2 linked regions of the Nothobranchius furzeri genome follow. The protein of the gene in region 1 purifies or fractionates together with the protein of each later gene. This does not show direct contact. Links are inferred from orthologs where the notes say so. Each region holds a gene or a part of one and is shown on either strand. Other genes may lie near its edges.

The links.
Region 2: the proteins of mphosph6 (region 1) and exosc9 purify together in Homo sapiens (affinity purification with mass spectrometry; 5 studies listed by BioGRID and IntAct, with this or other methods). This does not show direct contact. The link is inferred for Nothobranchius furzeri from reciprocal best matches to the Homo sapiens genes MPHOSPH6 and EXOSC9.

Annotation. Positions count from the first base shown.
Region 1 is NC_091744.1:80,075,120-80,078,876, reverse strand, and holds the start of mphosph6 (M-phase phosphoprotein 6), read right to left. Parts: upstream 2,241-3,757; 5' UTR 2,089-2,240; coding exon 2,041-2,088; intron 1,348-2,040; coding exon 1,235-1,347; intron 1-1,234. UniProt on the Homo sapiens protein: RNA-binding protein that associates with the RNA exosome complex. Involved in the 3'-processing of the 7S pre-RNA to the mature 5.8S rRNA and play a role in recruiting the RNA exosome complex to pre-rRNA; this function may include C1D.
Region 2 is NC_091746.1:81,911,038-81,914,794, forward strand, and holds the start of exosc9 (exosome complex component RRP45), read right to left. Parts: upstream 2,666-3,757; 5' UTR 2,567-2,665; coding exon 2,501-2,566; intron 2,236-2,500; coding exon 2,141-2,235; intron 1-2,140. UniProt on the Homo sapiens protein: Non-catalytic component of the RNA exosome complex which has 3'->5' exoribonuclease activity and participates in a multitude of cellular RNA processing and degradation events.

The DNA.
Region 1 (3,757 bases):
TTTAAAACAAATCAGCGCGGCGGCGGGGCCCGAGGAGCCGGGGAAGAAGCACTGGCCGAGCGAAGGTGCAGTGAGGAGGAGAGCCGTCCTGACAAATAAACGTGTGTGTGTGTGTGTGTGTGTGTGCACGCGCTGTTTACTTTCATAATGCAGTAAGTAAAATAAGACAAACCTCACATGTCTCGAGTCACAATGAATTTGCGCGATACTTCAAAGCCTTGTTTACCGCTGCTACCAGAAACATTGAATGGAAAGAGAGGAGGCGGCGGCCATGTTGTAGCTGCGGAGCGTCGAGGCAGTAAAACTGACAAATAGGGCTGGGCGGATCGAGCTAAGATATCGATAGTATCGATCTAACGTTGGTATTGAGTATTTACTAGATACCTGCGTGATGGTATCGATTCCGTTTCTTCTAGCCTGGCAAGCATTGATTTACTCACCGCTACAGATGTCGGTCAACGAGGCAGTCCACCAAACTCCGTCAAAGAAGATGCAAAACACATCCTTTTCCTAAATAAACGTTAGTACTTCTATCTGATCTTGACTCAAACAAAAGCTAAAAAGTCATAATAGTCCAAACTTGACGCCAAAGCCATTTCAAACGAGCGGCTGACCGCCGACTAGTCAGTAGTGCTGTACGATACTGCAAAATTTGGTATCGATCCGATACCAAGTAAATACAGGGGCTAGTATTGCCGCCCAATACCAATACTTTTTACTACTAATCTAGTACCATCTAGTTTTGTGGGAATTATTAAGATAAATAGGATCAATAAAATTTGAGTTTTCAGACAACATCCTGCCTAAATAATACATTTATTTAGTCTGGCTTGCCAGGCTAGTGCTGGCGCGCTGTTTTACTTTTTTTTTTAATGTAACGGCGGGCTGCCCCGTTGACTGACATCCGTGGCATTCCAATCAGTGTTTTACTGGTTTGTTGGGCCAATCACAGTGCTCTTTTAGCGAGGTGGGAGGGATGTCCCTGCAAACAAACATGGCTGCCGCTCGAAACTGTCCAAACATAGGTATCAGCCAGGTAAACTACAAATAAAGATGGCTGCTGTTCTGTAGTGGTCCAATCATGGCGCTATATAGATTTCATGGACCAATCGCAACACTAAGTAGGCAGGATGTTATTGGAAAACAAAAAAAAAAAAACGTAGATCCCACCCCATTATTTAGATCTGTCTATGGGTCGTGGCTCGCCAGGCTAGTGGGATTCCTGTTCTCATACTCTTTAGATTTGAGCTCCGGCAGGTCCAGGTGCCAGTGTTCATCACTGATGATCCTCTTCTCGTCTTCGTCCAGCTGCTTCTTTGTCTCAGCATCCAGTCCCCTCTGCATAAACTGAAACACAAAGCACACATTTACTCAATCTGGACCCAACCAAAACCACCGTTAGCCAGGTCCACAACAATGCTGCCAAGATCATCAGCTTCCTGGAAGATCCAGAACTTCTAAAGTTGACTTCCATCAGAAATCTTCTCTCTTCCCACAACTCCTGGTTCTCAGGCAGCAGCAAGTTTGGTTCCTTCCTAGAGGTTCTAACAGTAAAACAAGAGGCACAGCTTTCCCTTCCCAGGCTCCTCTCTGGCGGCCACCAGGTCTCCCAGAACCAGTCGGTCCATCCTGGACTTGATTCTGTAGGACGTTGCGTGGTGCTGCTCAGGATGGAGGACGTGTTGGGAGTGAAGATTCTAATCATTGCACCAGAAGCTCTGGCTTTTTGTGAGCTGTGGTTCGGATTTTTTTGGACTTTGGTAGAATCTTCTCTCAGGTTCGGTCCTGGTTCAGAGTGGTCCAGATGAAGGAGGCACATCCCGCTCCTCCACGGGTTCACAGAGATCAGATACATCTCTGAAACACGCCTAAATCCGCTTCGTCTCGTTGCTTTACCCCGAATTCAAGTTCAGTTTCAGGGTGATAAACGCTGCTTGGAGTCAGCATCTGGGAGGAAACTAGCGTCTTCTTATCACACATCAAACGTTCATTTCTGTTTAGTCAATGACGTTCGGCGCAGAGCTAGCAGCTAACGCTTACCTTCATCCGCAGCAGGTTTTTTGACAGTTTGAATGAATCTTCCGCCATATTGTGCCGATTAATTTATACTAATTTAAAGTAAATCCGAACTCATTCAAACGAACTCGTTTAGATCTAACAATCAGCACTTAGCATTAGCCACTGGGCTAAGCGCTCACCACAGTCTGAAACAATCGAACATTGATGCGCATGCATGGTCGATGTTAAGGATGATGAATCAAACACGAGCAGCTGTTCGAATTGGATCCTGGTCATCTAACCTTTTCTAGAAAGATAAAAGGACATGACCGTGAAAACACTCGAAGATGAATTTGTGTAAATTATTTCAGTTTATATGTTTGTTTGTTTAAACCGAAACACATTAGCCAACAATAATTTAAAGACCAATGTGGCTAGCTTGAAGCCCCTCCCATTCACCATGGTAACACATGCTGGAGACAAGCCCCCAAAATTCAGCGCACAGATTTCACTCACAAACGCAGAAAGGTTCACAAATGAGAAGCTTTTCGTAAATGCACGTTCAGCAATTCGGATGATCTGTGAGTTTATATTACAAGTGTTCTTACAAATAATATTTGTGAACCACAGAGTGTGAACTTCAGAATTAGCGTGTGCATTTGTGGAAAATGTTGCGTGACTTATTTTTTCACATTATATTTATGAGTCAAAGAGTGTGAATTTCCGAATGAGCTTGTGCATTTGTGTTCCTCCGAATTATATTTGTGAAACACAAGAGTGTGGCTTTCCGAATGAACGTGTGCATTTGTGGAAAACGTTGTGTGACTTAATTCTTATGTCACTGCTTCCACTCCAGTCGGGGTTCTTTTTCCCCCCCCCTCTCTCTCTCTCCTCTTCCTGAGGAGGATCCACTCCCTCTTTCCTATTCACTCTCTCTCTCTTTCTTTACATTTTTAATCACAATTGTCTATTTTTTGCTCATTTTAATTTAATCATTTTCTAAATTCTTTTTTCTATTTTACATGTTTTGTTTTTGTGAAGCGCCCTGTGATTTTTATCTTGAGAGGCGCTATAGAAAAGATCTTTTTTTCTCTCTCTCTCTCTTAATTCATGCACTTAAATATTAATGTTCTGATTTTATTGAAAAACTTGTTCTGTAATAGTTCCTTTACTATTGTGATCAAAAACATTTAATCTCAACTCTGAGGCTGCTCTGTAAATAGTTTTCAAATAAACAATACACATAGCAACTTCTGATCAAACTTAAAGAGCAAGTAACGTCTAAATTAACTTTTTTTTGCTGATGAACTGTATAAATGAGTGTCTAATAGTGTTTTAAATGTGTGTATTCATTATTTTAGCATTTTGGTGCATTTTCTTAAAAAATTAAAAATTCTGCCTAAATACCACAGTATAGCTCCACCTTCAGCTTAAAACATAGAATTTGACTCATTTTGAATAAATTTTAGCCAATGGCTAAAGAGTAAGATACTACGTAATCCAGTAGAGTACTACGTAGCAGCTCTGTGTCAACGTTATAAAAGCATCGGGAGTCTCGGCCACGCCTTGTGGCGAGTTGGGAGTTGGATTTGCATGAGAGTGTAGGAGGCTAGCCGTAGTTCAGCATTAGCATATAGCATTAGCATATCCTAGTCTTTAGCATAGCTTTTAGTGTTATACATACTTATTTAGTGTTAGCTTGGCTGTTGGATATTGTAGTTTAGTTACTGTTTGGCTGTTAGTGTAATTAGGAAAGTAG
Region 2 (3,757 bases), on another chromosome or scaffold:
TTCTCTTGGAGGGACAAACCCTTAAAAGCATCTAAAGGTCACAGACAAGGGTCGATTCTAGATTATATTAAAGTGACAATGTGTAGTTTTTACCATTAATCTCTGGAAATATCCATTGAAATGTTGTAAATGAATTAAAAAGTGCCCAGTTGTTGACAAATAGTGGTTGTTTCATAACATGCAGTGGGGCAAAAAAGTATTTAGTCAGCCACCGATTGTGCAAGTTCTCCCACTTAAAATGATGACAGAGGTCAGTAATTTACATCATAGGTGCACTTCAACTGTGAGAGACAGAATGTGGAAAAAAAATCCATGAATTCACATGGCAGGATTTTTAAAGAATTTATTTGTAAATCAGGGTGGAAAATAAGTATTTGGTCACTTCAGACAAGGAAAATCTCTGGCTCTCACAGACCTGTAACGTCTTCTTTAAGAAGCTTTTCTGTCCTCCACTCATTACCTGTATTAATGGCACCTGTTTGAACTCATTATCTGTATAAAAGACACCTGTCCACAGCCTCAAACAGTCAGACTCCAAACTCCACTATGGCCAAGACCAAAGAGCTTTCGAAGGACACCAGGAAAAGAATTGTAGACCTGCACCAGACTGGGAAGAGTGAATCTACAATAGGCAAGCAGCTTGGTGAGAAAAGATCAATTGTGGGAGCAATTATCAGAAAATGGAAGACATACAAGACCACTGATAATCTCCCTCGATCTGGGGCTCCACGCAAGATCTCATCCCGTGGGGTCAAAATGATCATGAGAACGGTGAGCAAGAATCCCAGAACCACACGGGGGGACCTGGTGAATGACCTGCAGAGGGCTGGGACCACAGTAACAAAGGTCACCATCAGTAACACATTACAACGTCAGGGAATCAAATCCTGCAGTGCCAGACGTGTTCCGCTGCTGAAGCCAGTGCATGTCCAGGCCTGTCTGAAGTTTGCCAGAGAGCACATGGATGATACAGCAGAGGATTGGGAGAATGTCATGTGGTCAGATGAAACCAAAGTAGAACTTTTTGGTATAAACTCAACTCGTCGTGTTTGGAGGAAGAAGAATACTGAGTTGCATCCCAAGAACACCATACCTACTGTGAAGCATGGGGGTGGGAACATCATGCTTGGGGCTGTTTTTCTGCTAAGGGGACAGGACGACTGATCCGTGTTAAGGACAGAATGAATGGGGCCATGTTTCGTGAGATTCTGAGCCAAAACCTCCTTCCATCAGTGAGAGCTTTGAAGATGAAACGTGGCTGGGTCTTCCAACACGACAATGATCACAAACACACCGCCCGGGCAACAAAGGAGTGGCTCCGTAAGAAGCATTTGAAAGTCCTGGAGTGGCCTAGCCAGTCTCCAGACCTCAACCCCATAGAAAATCTGTGGAGGGAGTGGAAAGTCCGTGTTGCTCGGCGACAGCCCCAAAACATCACTGCTCTCGAGAAGATCTGCATGGAGGAATGGGCCAAAATACCAGCTACTGTGTGTGCAAACCTGGTAAAGACCTATAGTAATCGTTTGACCTCTGTTATTGCCAACAAAGGTTATGTTACAAAGTATTGAGTTGAATTTTTGTTATTGACCAAATACTTATTTTCCACCCTGATTTACAAATAAATTCTTTAAAAATCCTTCCATGTGAATTCATGGATTTTTTTTCACATTCTGTCTCTCACAGTTGAAGTGTACCTATGATGTAAATTACTGACCTCTGTCATCATTTTAAGTGGGAGAACTTGCACAATCGGTGGCTGACTAAATACTTTTTTGCCCCACTGTATAGCCATAAAAATTGGGTTTAAAATGCATAGGAGTGGGTCTAAGTCTCTGGGTGACACAATATTGGATGCCATGTTTCCTTTTACGGAAGCCCGTGAGGACAGAATGCATTCACTGATTTGTAACTAATAGTTACAAAACTTTCAGCATTAATAAACGTTGTTCTTTTACATGTTTATCTCTTCACTCATTGCAAGGGATGAAAGGGAATCTGATGTTCTTGTTATTTTGATGAAGGTTGCACTCCCAAGGATTTTTGACCCTAACAGTTCCTCGTGTTGATTTTAGAGACAACATGTTAGTCAGTATTAGAATCATTCAGCAGCTTTCATCACATTACCAAACCCCAGAATCACCTGGTTTGCCCCAGATCCACAAAGCAGCATCCATAATCAGTCCCAAAAGTGATTTTCAACTTTCTGTAGTCATAGGTCTGTCGTCCATCGAGCCGCTAAAAGACACGAACAAAAAACAGTAAACAGAACTTTAGCTAGTTTCTTCAAAAACAATAGTTGGAACTTGGAAAATTAAATGACTTAATTTCGGTTACAACGTTTTTATCTTAAACATTTCTGTGACAATTTTGGTGTGAATTCTCACTTCTAAAGATACAATCATGAATAGAAGCACGGATTTTTTTCAGTTTTTCCATTCAACGTTCTGGATGTGGAGGTTGTTTTCTTAGCTACTTTGATGATAAACGTTTTAAAACGCACCTTTTTCTCTTCGATTGCTCTCAGTAAGAAGTCTCGCTCGCAGTTGGAAAGCGGCGTTTCTTTCATGATTGTTGTTATTTGCTGTTTCTGGTGAAAATCAAATTATTCTCAACTGACATGCGGGAACCACCTATTTACGCAATTCGCGCATGCGCGACGAAACAATATACGGCTTTACCGTATGTCGCAAATGAACCCAAATCTTTTTTTTTTCTTTTTTTTTTAGAGAAGATAACATACAAACAAAATGCACCGTACATTATATATTCAAACGATAATCATTACATGCATATTAAACATTTTCACGTATATGAAAAAAAGAAAATCTAAAGATGGGGTCACATAATTAACAGATTATTAACTTACTAACTCAAAATCTTCTACAAAGGAAATAAACAAATCTGCCTTTTTCTTTTTAACTAAATTCAACGATTTAATTAATAATTTTAAGTCGTTTTTCCAATAGGCTAGTGTTGGTTTGGTCTTAAAAATTGACATTTATGTATAAATTGTTTGCACAAAATTAATAACACATTAACACCATAATTAACTTTCTTTTTTTCAAAAACACTCCAAACATTGTCATATTTAAGGTAAATGGGGCAATTTGAATCCCACTAGAACAAAGCCAGGCATGAAAATCTAACCAAAATATTTGTATAAAGTTGCACAAAAAAAATTGATGGTCTAAGTCCTCCTCTTCTGTTTCACAAAATACACAATTACCAGCTTCTATATTGAATCTATCCCCAAGGAGTCTATTTGTTGGGTAAATGTTATTCAAAATTTTAAATAGGACTTCTTTCCCTTTAGGAGCGATATGTGAACCCAAATCTAAATTTGTTTGTAACCAATCATGTGAACTGATGTGGACTAATCTAATGTGTGTGTTGGTCGTTTATTTTATCCGTATATTCATACATGCGATTTTAACTAGACTGATATTCGTTTAAATGATAGAAGTAAGTACAGTGGGGCAAAACGTGGCTGTAAATGAATATTTTGTTCAGTTTGTTGGCTAAACACATAAAGAAATGACACCAATTTTGGATTTTCTTTCATTTAGTCTATTAAGTGTTGCGCTTCGAGTGTAAGCATGATATAAACAGTTGAAGGGACGAAAAGAAAAGGAGCTTCTACGTGATGCTTTCACAGAAACCCCCCGATCTCCAAATCGCCGGTTAATGGGATTTTATTCGGATTCAACGAAAAAGCTTTATTTTCCTCGAACCAGGTTTCAAATAGCATAAATCACAA